Linked DNA regions of Sus scrofa. The main gene of each other region encodes a partner of the protein of the gene in region 2 in a complex. Links are inferred from orthologs where the notes say so. Each region holds a gene or a part of one and is shown on either strand. Other genes may lie near its edges.

Region 1 (4,859 bases), on a different chromosome or scaffold from region 2:
CACCGATTTTACCCTTAGCCTGGGAACTTCCATGTGCTGTGGGTGCAGCCCTAAAAAGACAAAAACAAAACAAAACAACAATAAAAAAACCACACACGTGTGTGTGTGTATATATATAAACACATACAGGTATGTTTTATATGTGTGTGTTTTATATAATATGTAATATATAATATATATCGTATACTTTTAGGTATATAGCATAAATAAAAATACATATACTTATATTGTTTCACCAGATTAGATCCTGTACTCTGTTTTGTCACTGTGTTTCTTTCTTTCTTTCTTTTTATTTATTTATTTACTTATTTTTGTCTTTTTGTTTTTTCTTGGGCCGCACCGGAGGCACATGGAGATTCCAAGGCTGGGGTCTTATCAGAGCCGTAGCCACCGGCCTAGCCAGAGCCACAGCAACGCAGGATCCGAGGTTCATCTTCAACCTATACCACAGCTCACGGCAACACCAGATCCTTAACCCAATGAGCAAGGCCAAGGATTGAACCTGCCACCTCATGGTTCCTAGTCAGATTTGTTAACCACTGCACCATGACGGGAACTCATCTTTCGCACCTGTGGCATATGGAGGTTCCTAGGCTAGGGGTCAAATTGGAGCTGAAGCTTCAGGCCTACACCACAGCTCACAGCAATGCCAGATCCTTAACCCACTGAGTGAGGCCAGGGATCAAACTGGTCCTCATGAACGCTAGTCAGGTTCACTACTGCTGATAGACGATGGGAACTCCATATGAAACATTTTTAAAGATGTTTCTCTCTCTCTCTCTTTTTTTTTTTTTTTTTTTTTTTTTTTGGTCTTTTTAGGGCTGCAGCTATGGCATATGGAGGTTTCCAGGCTAGGAGTTGAATGGGAGCTGCAGCTGCCAGCCTACACCACAGCCACAGCGATGCCCAATCCAAGCCTCCCTGTGATCTACACCACAGCTCAAGGCAACCCAAGATCCTTAACCCATTGAGCGAGGCCAGGGATTGTACCTGCATCCTCACGGATTCTAGTCGGTTTAGTTACTGCTGAGCCACAAAGGGGCCTACCCTAAAGATGTTTCTTCTTTTGCAGAAGTTCCAGGGCCAGGGATGAAACCGGCACCACAGCAGTGACAACACAACCTCCTGTAAGGAAACTCCAGATACGGTGTTTCCTTTTTTTTTTTTTTTTTTTAATTTGGGCCTCTCCTGGGGCATGTGGAAGTTCTATCTACAATCATTTATCCTTTGAAGAGTTCAGCTAGTTCGTTCACTGAGGTATTTTACATATTTTACTTTCCCCCATTCCCTGTTGTTGGGACTTTTAGGTTCTTCCTGAGTTTTCACTATTACAAACTCACAATTTGATTCGGTGTTTTACACAAAAATTTTAAAGTCCATTACATGCCTTCCCTGTCCCTTGTCTTTCTTTTATTGAATGCTGTTTATATCGCTGAAGGCAGAGCCAGGGCAGGACCTTTAACCGCACACGAGGGCAGGAGGGCCGCCAGCCCCCAGGCGGGGGCCAGGCGGAGGGGGCGTGGTCGGGCCTGAGCCTGGGGCCGCAGGTGAGCGCCCGGCTGGGCCCTGGGGAGGCGCGGGCGGCTCCTCCTGGGGCGAGAGCGGGTCCGCAGGTGAGCGGGGGTGGGGTGGGTGCAGGGGAGGCGCGAGCTGCGCGTCGAGGTGCAGCGGGCGCAGGTGCGCCGACGACACCTGGCGTCCCCGCTGCACGACGGCAGCCGAGCGGTCGGCGCGGGGAGCGGGGTCGTGACCTCAGGCAGTTTCCCTCCAGCCCGGCCCGGAGCTTGTCCGCCCAGAAGGCAGCCGCCCTGGCCTTTCACGCGGCGGCCGCAGGGCGGGGCAGGTGCGGCCGTCGGCCCGCGCGGTCTCCCCCGGCGGCCGGGCGGGCGGGGCGGGGCGGGGCGGGCGGCGGTGACGCGGCGGTCACGTGACGGCCGAGGAATGCCAACAATGTAGCGAATGTCCCGCTCGGTGCGCGCAGGGCCGCGGCGCGAGCGCCGGAAGATGGGGCCGCCCGCCCGCCCGGCGCCCCCGGGCCCGGCGTCCCCGCGCGACGCCCCGGAGCTGCGGGCCAGGCGGCCGCGCACCGCGTAGACGGCGCCGAGGTGAGCCGGCGGGCGGGCGGGCAGGCGTCGGGGCGGCCCCCGGGCTCGGCCCGGCGGGGTCCGGACTCCGACTGGGACGCGCGCTCGGGACGGGCGGGCGGGGCCGCTGGCCCTGCGGGCCCCTCCTCGGCCCCCGGCGGGCGGGTCGCCCCCCACCTCGGGCCCCCGCGGGCGGGGCGGCCCCACCCCGCCCCCACCTCACCTCCGACCCCCACCCCTCCCCCACCCCGGCGGCCCGCGGCCTCCCCCGCGCTCGCCGCCCGCCCGGCCCCGGCCGCGGGGTCCGACCCGGTTGGCGCTCGCGGGCGGGACTCGGGCGCCTCGGGGGCGGGCGGAGGGCAGGGGTCCCGGCGTGACACGCCCGCAGGCCTCGGGTGGGACCGGAAAGTGCACTTTGTGCGCCGGGCCGGCGGTGTGGACGGATCTGACCCGGAGTGGATGGAGGGGAGGGGCGCCTGGCGGAGCAGAACCCGGACTTTTAAAAGTTTCTCCGCCTCGGCTGCGGCGCAGGCTGCGTGCGCTCCGAGTTGGCAGGTAAGGTCGCCGGCCGCGCAGCTCGGGCCCCGAAAGTGTTCAGCGGGCACCTCCGTTTGCGGAGGAAGCCTTGCCCGCATTCCGCTCAGAAGCTCGAGTGCAGAAGCCTGGGCGGAAAGTCGCGAAATGTGTGATGTTCGCGCAGGTGCTCAGTTTGCGTTTTAACCTAGTTCTTGACAGGCCTTCGGTCAGTAATGCAGAAAGGAACTCCTGCTTTTTATCAGGAAATGTGCGCTCAGTAGATCCTGCTGCATTTTTCCGCTGAATCTCATCTTAACGCCCCTGCGCGATGGGCCAGCTTTTTTTTGGGAGGGGGCACCGTTTTTGAGTGCTAGATCAGGAGACTGAGCTGCTCTGTATCCTTAAGGTTTTTTCTTTTGCGATTGTATTAACAAGGTAGTAACCGAGAAAGTATTAATAATAACCAGAAAAGCTTCAGAACAAGAGTGTACAGACTGTTTAAAAAAGTCTGTTTTAGATTATAATGAACAAGACACTGTGATTCAGTCTCTCATAAAATTCGGTCTCATTATCCAGGTATATAGAGCACTGTGTAATGAATATGGCAGCATTCCTTTGAAATTAAAACTGTAGAACATTTAGTCTCAAAATGTCAAGCAATTTGAAACATCTGAGCAGAAGGTGTCATGAGACGTTATTAGGGTTAATGGCTAGAATCTTGGGATTTTTGAACTGGAAAGGATTCTTCTAGTCTCTCCATCTAATTCGAAATAGTTTTTTGATTTAGGTGTAAATCGGGGCTGTGCATATTTCTCAGCACATCACAGGGATGGTGGGAGGGGAATGTGTTTGTACACTAAGATGCCTTATTTTAAATACTGTGGTGTAAATAGCCAGCCCCCCCAGAAGTTCCTAAATCCTGCTGTATGGGGGTGGGGTGGGGGTGAGGAGAGGTGTTGGAGCTGAGACATTTGCCATGAACACACTGGAAGGTTTTGGGGGAAATTGGGGGGGGGTGTGTGCTGATCTCTATTGGAAAACCCAGACTAACAGTTTTTTAGAAGCTGCTGTTATATTTTATTTCATGATTGTAATAATGTGAAACTTCTGGAGTTCCCATCGTGGCGCAGTGGTTAATGAATCCGACTAGAAACCATGAGGTTGCGGGTTCGATCCCTGGCCTTGCTCAGTGGGTTGAGGATCCGGTGTTGCCGTGAACTGTGGTGTAGGCTGCAGACGAGGCTGGGATCCCGAGTTGCTGTGGCTCTGGTGTAGGCTGGCAGCTACAGCTCCCATTCGACCCCTAGCCTGGGAACAGAAGCAAAAGGTCCTGGAGCAACACCCCACCGTGGTCGGCTGAACTTGGCAGCAGCTTCCCTACCTGGGGGAGAAGGAGGCTACCACTTTAAGGGGGAATTGACATCAGGTTGGTTCATCAGTTGCCAGGGAAATTTGGGGGTGGGTGTGTTCTGATATGCCTCCATATGCCGCAGGAAGCAGCCCTAGAAAAGGCAAAAAGACCCCCTCCCCCCAAAAAAGTGAAACTTCTAATATTCCTTACTGATTTTGTAAAGATAATAGGTTGGAATAAATACAGAAGATAAATTCAGTGCATTTAACTTTGCTTTGACTGTAAATCTTCTCTAAAAAGAAGCAAAATAGTCTGAACAACAGAATGAAGAGGTTGGGTTTGAAAACTTCTAAAGTGACTAACTTTCAGCATGAAAGATTTTCTGAATGTTCCTCCTTAAAAAAAAAAAAAAGCCTGTCGCTTACTAATTCCTCTGGACTGAACTGGGCCTCCCAGGTCCAGGGTCATATTCCCACTGTGTGCTAGTGGCACACGGAGGGCCACCAGTGAAGACTCCCCAGTGTGGAGATAGCCCTGCTTGGCTGCTCAGTTCCCTGTTAGTTGTTCTCTAAGTACCTTTAAGGCTGGTGCTCTTTGATTTACAGCTTCATGTTGAAGGATTATTAAAACAAAGGTAATGTTGAAATGAAGATAATGGTTATGGGGCTAAAATTAGGATGGAAATTTGACAGTGCTTAATGTTTGCTGATCATTACATGAGAACTTTATCTCGCCGTCTAGACCACATCAACCTAATTGTGACATTTATTTTATTTTATTTTATTTTAAGGCCACACCTGTGGCATATGGCAGTTCCCAGGCTAGGGGTCAAATTGGAGCTGTAACCACCGGCCTACGCCACAGCTAAAGCCACTTGGGATCCAAGCCGTGTCTGCAGCCTACACCAC
Region 2 (4,589 bases):
ATCTCAGTCATTGTATTTTCCAACTCCAGAATTTTAGTTTGGTTCTTTCCAGATGTTTTATTGACTCCTACAAACTAACTGGCCTATAGACTATACAGTATCTTCATTAAATCCACAAATTTCCCAATTGCCTTTCACCAAAAGCTCCTCAGTTCTAGAGAGTCCCCTTAGTCATAAATTCTCCACACTCTATTTGCAAACAAAAAGTCACTACTTTCTGTAAGGAGCTAAGGGTTTTAAAACCTGCTTCTCCCTCCAGGCAAAATCTCTGAGCCCCTGATAGAAGGGGGTAAGGGAAGACACAGTAGCCTGAGGCCTTCTCAGTTTGCTTCTCCTGGCTGGAACCACCATCTCACAAACTGAGGGTCATTGGGACTCCAGTATTCCCGGAGAGCCACACCTGTAATACAGCCCACATTCCATAAGTAAGAGCTGGGTGGAAGAAGGAAGCTCCATGATTCAGCTTCACTCACCCAGGATTTAGCCTCAGCAACAAGTAGCCTTGGGCAGAAGCCCTAAACTATGCACTTCTGGGAAGAAGGCTGTCTGCCTAGGGGGTAGGGGGAGAGGAAGCCCTGTGTACTGGGCTGCGGGGTTGAGAGCAGAATCTCTACCTTGTAGAGCTGGGAGCAGGGAGGGTGGTATGGTCCTGGTTCAAACACCACAAACTCCTGCCTTTCTTACAGATTTTTTTTTTTTTTTTTTTTCTATTTAAGGCCACACCTGCAGCATATGGAAGGTCCCAGGCCAGGGGTCAAATCAGAGCTGTAGCTGCTGGCCTATACCACAGCCACAGCAATGCAGCATCGGAGCCATGTCTGTGACCTATACTGTAGCACAGGGTAACGCCAGATTCTTAACCTACTGAGCGAAGCCGGGGATCAAACCTGCATCCTCATGGATACTAGTCAGGTTCATAACTGCTGAAACACAATGGAACTCCTTTACCGAATTTTCATAGATTTTCTTTCTTTCTTTTTCTTTTTTCTTTTTTGGTCTTAAAGGGCCGCACCCACGGCATATGGAGGTTCCCAGGCTAGGGGTTCAATCAGAGCTACAGCTGCTGGCCTATGCCACAGCCACAGCAATGCAGGATCCAAGCTGCGTCTCTGACCTATACCCACAGCTCAGTGAAACCTTAACCCGATGAGCAAGGCCAGGAATTGAACCCCCGTCCTCACAGATACCAGTAGGGTTCGTTAACAACTGCACCATGATGGGACCCCCCTTCATAGATTTTCTTGAGTAGATGCTTCTTCACTTGATGTCTGCTCTTAGAACAACTTCCAGAGGGTTTACAAAAAAAAAATTTTTTTGGCCACACCTACGGCATGTAGAAGTTCCAGGGCCAGGGACTGAACCCACGCCACAGCAGTGACCCAAGCCATAGAGCCACAGCAGTGACAACGTTGGATCCTTAACCTGCTGTGCCACCAGAGAACTCTCTAAATTGGTTTTTGTTTTTGTTTTGTCTTTTTAGGGCCATACTGTGGCATATGGAAGTTCCCAGGCTAGGGGTCGAATCAGAGCTGTAGCCACTGGCCTACACCACAGCCACAGCAACGCGGGATCCGAGCTGTGTCTGTGACCTACACCACAGCTCATAGCAATGCCAGATCCTTACCCACTGATTGAGGCCAGGGATCGAACCTGTGTCCTCATGGATACTTGTTTCCACTGAGCCACGACAGGAACTCCTAAATTGTTTTTTAAAAATAAATTTTACCAGTTTACAGAGCACCATGTCACTGGAGTTCCTCACCCTGTCAGGCTGGAAGGGATCCTGCCTAAGGCCATTTTTGTTCTACAGAGGTAGAACTGAAGAGTTGAGCAGTTGCAACTCGGACCCTAAGGCTTGAAAAGCTGAAAAAATTTATTATGGGCCCGTTACAGAAAAAAAATTGCCAACCACTGACTTATGTTGCTGTTGCCAATTCTGCTTGTCCCCAGGCCACACTCTGAGTAGCAAGGACATAAAATTACTTGAGAGCAGTACTGTATTGGCTCGAATCAAAACGCTCCTTCACCATTTACTGGATATATGGTTTGGGGTACCCACCTAAATGAGTTGTTTTGAGAGGTAAGTGTATGAATGTCTGACACTTAGGACGTATTCAATAAAGGATAACTTATCATTGTGATACAAACTGTAGGGAAAGTTTAGGATATCATCTTTTTCCTCGAAGAGTTTTTTCCAGAAAATTTAAGCTGTGAAAAAGGGAAACAACTACTGTAGACTGTGCAATAAAATGAGATGCAACTTTTAATAGCTGGGGTACATAATATAATCGAATAAAGTTAAAAACTCTATAAAGCTGAAGTTAAAGCCTGACACTGAAAATTAAATTTCGCTACCACGGATGTTTTCAGACTCTTGGAATAACAATGAATGAAAACCTTCAGGAAGCACTTCCAAACCCAAAAGTCCCATTGAAAAAAGCAGCGATTATCTTTAACATGACGATTTGGGCCTAGATGGCTCCTTCCGGTTCTGACCCTCTCAGTCTTTGCCCAGAGATGATATAAACAGAATCCCGAAGCTTCCACCTCAACTGTCACCGCGGCAAGGGCGCCCAGGTCGGTGCCAGATCCGCACCAGGGCCCGATCCCGCCAGGCCTCCCTTCGCTGCAGCCCGTAGGGGCTGCCGGCCGGTTACCTCGCAATTGAACTCCATCTCCGCGTCCATAGTGACGATCCGCACGGTGAACGTCTTGGGCTGCTTCCTCTTGAGAGAGCTGAAGCTCATTCGGGAAGCGATGGCCCCGGCCATGGCGTGGGGCTCAGGCCCGGGAACCTGGGGCCCCGGGGCCTGCACTCTGGACCTTTTAGCCTCCCTGGAGAAGCCGCACAGGCCTCAGGGCCACCATGGTGGCCGGCCGGCCGGCCCGGGAGCTGTCTGAGCGGCGCGGGCCCCCAGCGGCCAGCATGGGCCGCGAGGACCGTGCCCTGGGAACGGAAAGGGGAGTTGGGGGGCGGGCCCTGATGGCCGCGGGGAGAGATCGCGATCAGGGACAGACAAGGCGGGCACCGCCCGGCTCTCGCCGGGACTCGGGCTGGGGACGTTGGGGACGCCCAGGGACGGGGGCCCTAGACGGCGGCTGCCCAGACCCTGCGCGCCTCTCAGCGGCCAACAGAGGTCTCAGGGGCCGCTCTCCAGCCAGGCGCGCACGTGCGCGCGTGGCTGTCACCGTCCTAGCTCCGCGCACCCGCGGGAAGCGTCCCCTCCCCGCATCCCCCGGCCTGCTCCCTGCCCCGCCCTCAGGCCCTTCAGAGCGCTACACGCAACGCAACCTAACTCGGCGGCTGCAGCCTAGACACCACGATTGGCTGAGAACTCTGAGGGAGGCGGGACTTTCTCCCGCTGTCCCACCTTCTTCAGTAGGACTTTACCAATTGGAAGTTCAGATCTAATTGGAGGCGCGGGATTACCCTCGACGTTGAGTGGCTAAGGCAGCGTCACTCCGAACGCTTTTGTTCGTAGGGGTACGCCTACTCTAGCAAGACTGGTTGACGCGGGGAGCCCGGCGCGCCTTTCCCAGGAAAACAAGAAGAGGCTGCTCCCGGGGCGCGGGAGATGAGTCACTCCTCAGTTCAGCAAGGGACTGCCCTTCGGACCAGGTCTGCGCCGAGTGTGGCGCCCCAGGAGACTGCGTTTCGAACGCCGAGCGGCCAATCCTGTTTAGCACTTAATTGCATGTATTACATGTACTGACTTGGTTTTTCTTAAACTTTCAAATCACTTGAGGCCGCTTGGTAGCGGGCAGTTTCCGCCAAGTCCTTCAGCTTCTGTTGAGGAGAAATTCTAGTTGTTACCGCGGGAGGGGGTAATAATTGCATCTGTCTCATGGAGTTGTTGAGGAATTTAAGCGAGATCATCCATATAAAGCTTTAGATAAGTGACTGGTCATACTACGTTGAATCTTATGAAATTATTCTTTCTGTAGATTTAAAAAACTAGAAAAATGAAAGCAGTTTTTATGTTGTGTTCTGTGTGATTTCCAGTTTCAGATCATATACATGATTTTTGTTTAAACTTCCTCAAGGGTTACAGTGAATGTGTGTGAGAGAGAGGTAGGGGAGTATAACTTTCTGTGTTTTTGTTGTGGTTCTTTAGGGCCACACCTGGGGCATATGGAAGCGCCTGGGATAGAGGTCCAACTGGAGCTGCAGCTTCCAGTCTACACCACAGCCACAGCAATGCCAGATCTGAGCCGCATCTGCGACCTACATCACAGCTCAGGGCAATGCGGGATCCTTAAACCACTGAGGGAGGCCAGGGATTGAATCCGAGTCCTCTTTGGATACTAGTTGCTGAGCCACAACTGGAACTCGTGTGTGTGTGTGTGTGTGTGTGTGTGTTTCTGTTTCTCTTTTAATCCAAATTTTAAGTTAATTCTTAGTGGTTGCCTAGCTGAGTGGTTGAAGGTTAAGCGTTGCACAGGTATTAACTATCATTATCACCCCCACCCCCACTCTACAGGTGAAGAAAAAGCTCAGCATGACGGAGCTACTTGCTGGCTAGCATCTAACTGCTGAGAGGCAAAGCTGGAACTCAAACCCAGGTCTGTTCCACCCAGAGACTGCTCGT
Region 3 (4,604 bases), on a different chromosome or scaffold from region 2:
CTCCCTGTATAACATATATTCTAACCAAGCCAAATTACTTGCTTTCTGCTAATGTGCCTTGTGCTTCTCTACCTTCATGTTCTTACTCTTCTTAGGAGACCCTCTGCCATATTCCTTCTTGTAGAAATTATACCCAGCATTTATGGTGCCATTCAAATGCTTCCTTCATGAAGCTTTCATTGAAGTGCCAGCTGCTATCCTCCTCTGAACTTCAAATGCACTTTACACAGGCAAATAAAACTTGTTTTTGCCCTATTCTTGTACTTGTCTTATTTTTCCCACTAAGCACAGACTGACAAAGCAGAGGTATCTTGGATATTGGATGTGTGTGTGTGTGTGTGTGTGTGTATTTTATTTTAAATTATAATTTGAATTGATCCAGAGTAAATGGATCCAGAGAGGTAAAGTGGCCCCATTAAAATCATACAGCCAGCTGGAGGTCATGCTAGGAATGGACTCCACATATCCTGAAACAGCCCAAGGCTCTTTTTTCCATGTCATTTTTTTTGGTCTTTTTGCCATTTCTTGGGCTGCTTCTGCAGCATATGGAGGTTCCCAAGCTAGGGGTCCAATCGGAGCTGTAGCCACTGACCTACACCAGAGCCACAGCAACTCATGATCAGAGCCGCGTCTGCAATCTACACCACAGCTCATGGCAACACGGATCCTTAACCCACTGAACAAGGCCAGGGATCAAACCCGAAACCTCATGGTTCCTAGTCGGATTCATTAACCACTGAGCCACAACAGGAACTCCCCAAGGCTCTTTTTTATCATACCTACATCTTAGTTTTCCTAAGGGATCATGACTCACATTCTTTGAAGGGATAACTTGGTTAGACTGAACAGACAAAACCTCCATTTCTTAGAAAGTTCGGACCTTCATCAGATGTACAAATGTCAATAAGTACAAACAAATACTGCTGATATCTTACCCAACTTAGGAAAAGAACAGAGCCCATTACATAAGAAGATTTCAAATTGATACCTTAGGTTGAACTAGGCTTGTAAAAAAGATGGTATCTTAAAGCTTTGACTAAATCAGTTATGAGAAAAGCAACAGTACTGTCTTAGCAGTATAGTCTTAGCTGTCCATATGGTAATATGTAAGAATCTCTGCATTCTGATGACATTTTCTCCAATTCACTTTCTAAGAGTTAACCTATCAAAAGTGAGAACAATCATTATATTTTATCATCATTTGAAAAATGACTGCCATTTCTACTTGATAAAAATGTTGTTCAATGACTAAATAACTTTCATAGTCTACAAAAATCCACCACTAATCTAAATATCACATCTAGAGCAAAAACTAAATAACCAGAGCTGGAACTGTTCTAAGGCTACACTATGTAGAGTAACAAGGAGGAGCATTAAAAACAAAAACAAAAACTCAACCTAAAGAAAGAAATCCACATGTGCCATATCATGCCAAATATATCTAGCAGAAATATTTTTATTTGCTTTTGAAGGCTGTCACCATATTTATTAAATACTCAGGCACAGGAAAAAATGCGCCTTTTCTAGCCTGTATCATGATCTAGTTTCTTGCAGTAACAGCCGATCAGAGGAACACAATGCTACTTCTTTCACTGTTAAATCAAATTCCTCCACTGCCTTAGGGAATCAACTAGCTCATTTTACCCGTGTGTCAACTAATTAAAGGAAAAAAATAAACGTAGTTAAATCACGAACATAGATACCTTAGCAGAGCACATTCATTACAATTATAATATCCGACTTTTTCTTCTATATGGTGGAAATCTGACAAAAAATTCTTAGTCCTCAATAACAATCCATAAGACCTGACACCCTTCATGGTTCAAGTCCATTTCCAAAATTGGAGTGATACAATACTGTGTGCGAGATTATAGTTCTCACTAGATTTATGAATTAACTTCTAGATAACGATGTAATATTTTGAGTCGTATTAACATATGGGTCAACAGACATTAATTTTTGTTCCCTTAGAAAAGAACTTTAAACTGAAGAAGAAAATAGCTTCCAACTGGAAAGAATGGGGTTAAATCACTTCACCTGAGAGTCATTCTTTGTGGCACAAAGTCTTTTTGAAGTTACAATAAACAATGTCCCCTGAACTTCCTTTCCTTCATTTTCTGAATTTACAGACATACTCCCTCCATCTCTCCTATCCCTTCCAACTATGAACAGCAACCTATTTACAGTGGACTGTAAATAGAAATTCTCAGAATTTCTTCAAGGTATATCCAGGAGCAGGTCCTTCTGGAATGAAAGAACTGTGGCTCCTTCACTGCACATTTCCTTCACAATCACCTTTCGCTATCCGTTCCTTCCTGAACACCGCTGACCGGTGAGGGTTGGAGACAAGGGTGGAGGGAGGTGTGAGCGAAAACAGTCCGCGCAAGGCCTCCAGTGAGACAGGATCTTCCCGGGCTAACCTGAACCTCCAAGGCCGCAAAGCCTGGGGCTCTTCCTCCAGCCCCGGGCGCGGCCAACCCTCGCTTCCCCAGGGCAGGGCTCCGCTCAGGTCCATGCAACCAGCCAAATCGGGCCCGTACCGGGCCGGCCCGGCCCGCCCGTCCGCAGCGGCCCCTGGACTCCCGCCAGCGGGGATGGGCGTGGGCCCCGACGGCCACCGCCCCGCCAACGCGGGCTCCGGAGGAGAGAGTGAGCCCCACCCGCTACGCCAGCCCCGGACCTACCTGCAGAGAGCGGGGCTCCTGGACAGCGGCCACGGGCCCGAGGGCGGGCGTCGAGGCGGCCGGAGCCCGTCCCAGGGACCCCAAGTGTCCCCGGTGGGGCAGGGCGGGCAGAGACGCCGGGGGGCTGCCGCGGGCCAGCGCGGCCCGTCGCGGAGGTCGCGGGGACCTGGCTCTCCCCTCAGCACCAGGCCGCCGCCGCCGCCGCCATTTTGCCTTCCACTCGGTGTCGCCGCCGCCGCACTCCGCTGCAGGTTTCCCGGATGTGGGCATTTCCCGGCGTCGCTTGCGCGGGGGCCGAGGACTGGGGGCTTCTGCCCGCCCGGCCGTGGGGAGCGGGCGCGCCGCCGCCGGCCTCCCGCCCTCCGCGGCCGCCCGTCCCCCTGCGTGTGCCCGCGCGTCGCCCCGCGTCGCCCCCGCTTTGCGCTGCGCAGGTGACTCGCCACGGCTGATGGCGTTCGGCTCTCCGCCTCCCAAGCCCACTCATTTAGTTCAGTGTCTTTCTCAATTGAGCGCTTTCTGTGGAAGGACGAATGTAGAATAAAAGGTGCGCCTCTGCAAGAGTTTAATTTCCAAAAGGTAACAGCCGTGAGTTGCTCTCTGAAACCTCGCGGTGGACCTCGGGATTCGGAATTTCTAGAGGCTTTGAAATAAACTGATGTTTGCTTAGCACTCTTTCCCCGAGTACATCCGTGAGTTTGTTTTCTGAATCAGTCAGATTAATATATTCGCGAACACGAACAGACTAGGGGTTCAGAGATTTCTGTCAACTGAATAATCTGTCAACTGAATCGGTATAAAAGGAAGTCATTATTACCATAACTGGAATAATTTTGACTGCAGCGAAAGAGGCTTTATCTTGTTAGATGGAATTGGAAGTTTGGGATGGGATCGTTGGGTTTATGATGTTTGAAGATCCCCTCCACTCTCTGCCCATGGCCTTTGCCAATTTTGCCTCTAGAAAATATATGCAGTTAGTACTTTCAAATATCTCCTTTCATCACATTTATGCTGGAGACTAGCTATTATTCGTTTAAACCAAAGCCTCTTTTTTTTCTGATGTTGAGTTAGTGGCTGGCTACTATTTCCAGAAGTTCAAATATGAAAACTTATGATGAAAGAAAAGATTACATTCCAAGAGCATTTGGTTGAAAGTCTCTTCCACAGGTAGAGTTTGTAAAAGGTATGATCTAAAGGGAGTCATTTAAGGGAGTTCCTTTTGTGGCTCAGCGGTAAGGAACCTGACTAGGATCCAAGAGGATGAGGGTTCAATCTGTGGCCTCGCTTAAGGATTGGGAGTTGCCATGAGCTGTGGTGTAGGTCGCAGACTTGTTGGATCCCTAGTTGCTGTGGCTGTGCTGTAGACCAATTGCTGCAGCTTGGATTCCACCCCTAGCCTGGGAACTTCCATATGCTGTGGGTGTAGCCCTAAAAAAGACAAAGGAAACCAAAAACAACAACCAAACAACAAAAACAAAGGGAGTCACTTAATAGCCCTGGGTCTTTCTTCAGCTGGAGAACTAAGTGACCAGCAGGGTATCTTTCAGCCTCAAAACTATATACATTTTATGAATCTAGTATGTCCACAGGCCTGCTTGCTCTTTCCAGGATTATGTATCTGGAAGAGCATGCTGCCCCCCGAAACTTTGTCACCTCTGTCACCAGCCCACAGAATTTTCTCATTTAAGCTCCTCAAAGACGTTTGGTTAACATTTGCTGAATGAATGAACAAATAAATGTTAGAACCACAGACAAGCTCAAAACCTAAAGGCAGGTATTTTCAAAAACCTAGGTCTTTGGAAAAAATCCTAGATAATTCAAGGAGTTCAGTAAATCGCTCTGAGACTAAAGGGTTTACTCCTGTGAATTAGGAGGAACAAAGAGCAGGGAAAGGAGAGAGGGAATGATCAGAAGAACCAACCA

Evidence for each region.
Region 1: the proteins of NF2 (region 2) and LATS2 are in contact, whole or in part, in a crystal structure (PDB 4ZRI), measured with the Homo sapiens proteins. The link is inferred for Sus scrofa from reciprocal best matches to the Homo sapiens genes NF2 and LATS2. Residues at the interface, in NP_000259.1 of Homo sapiens: Pro135, Glu136, Ala137, Val139, Leu140, Tyr144, Asn175, Leu176, Tyr177, Gln178, Met179, Trp184, Arg187, Trp191, Glu206, Lys209, Ile210; in NP_055387.2 of Homo sapiens: Tyr73, Ala76, Leu77, Glu79, Ile80, Arg81, Ser83, Leu84, Leu85, Phe87, Ala88, Asn89.
Region 3: the proteins of NF2 (region 2) and LATS1 are in contact, whole or in part, in a crystal structure (PDB 7LWH), measured with the Homo sapiens proteins. The link is inferred for Sus scrofa from reciprocal best matches to the Homo sapiens genes NF2 and LATS1. Residues at the interface, in NP_000259.1 of Homo sapiens: Pro135, Glu136, Ala137, Val139, Leu140, Tyr144, Asn175, Leu176, Tyr177, Gln178, Met179, Met183, Trp184, Arg187, Trp191, Glu206, Ile210, Asp213, Leu214, Glu215; in NP_004681.1 of Homo sapiens: Pro69, Lys70, Phe71, Gly72, His74, Ala77, Leu78, Glu80, Ile81, Arg82, Ser84, Leu85, Phe88, Ala89, Asn90.

What each region holds. Positions count from the first base shown.
Region 1 is NC_010453.5:1,263,052-1,267,910, reverse strand, and holds the start of LATS2 (serine/threonine-protein kinase LATS2), read left to right. Parts: upstream 1-1,940; 5' UTR 1,941-2,105; intron 2,106-2,380; exon of another isoform or gene 2,381-2,639; intron 2,640-4,859. UniProt on the Homo sapiens protein: Negative regulator of YAP1 in the Hippo signaling pathway that plays a pivotal role in organ size control and tumor suppression by restricting proliferation and promoting apoptosis.
Region 2 is NC_010456.5:46,652,550-46,657,138, reverse strand, and holds the start of NF2 (merlin), read right to left. Parts: upstream 3,271-4,589; 5' UTR 2,772-3,270; coding exon 2,658-2,771; intron 1-2,657. UniProt on the Homo sapiens protein: Probable regulator of the Hippo/SWH (Sav/Wts/Hpo) signaling pathway, a signaling pathway that plays a pivotal role in tumor suppression by restricting proliferation and promoting apoptosis.
Region 3 is NC_010443.5:16,273,270-16,277,873, reverse strand, and holds the start of LATS1 (serine/threonine-protein kinase LATS1), read right to left. Parts: upstream 2,920-4,604; 5' UTR 2,685-2,919; intron 1-2,684. UniProt on the Homo sapiens protein: Negative regulator of YAP1 in the Hippo signaling pathway that plays a pivotal role in organ size control and tumor suppression by restricting proliferation and promoting apoptosis.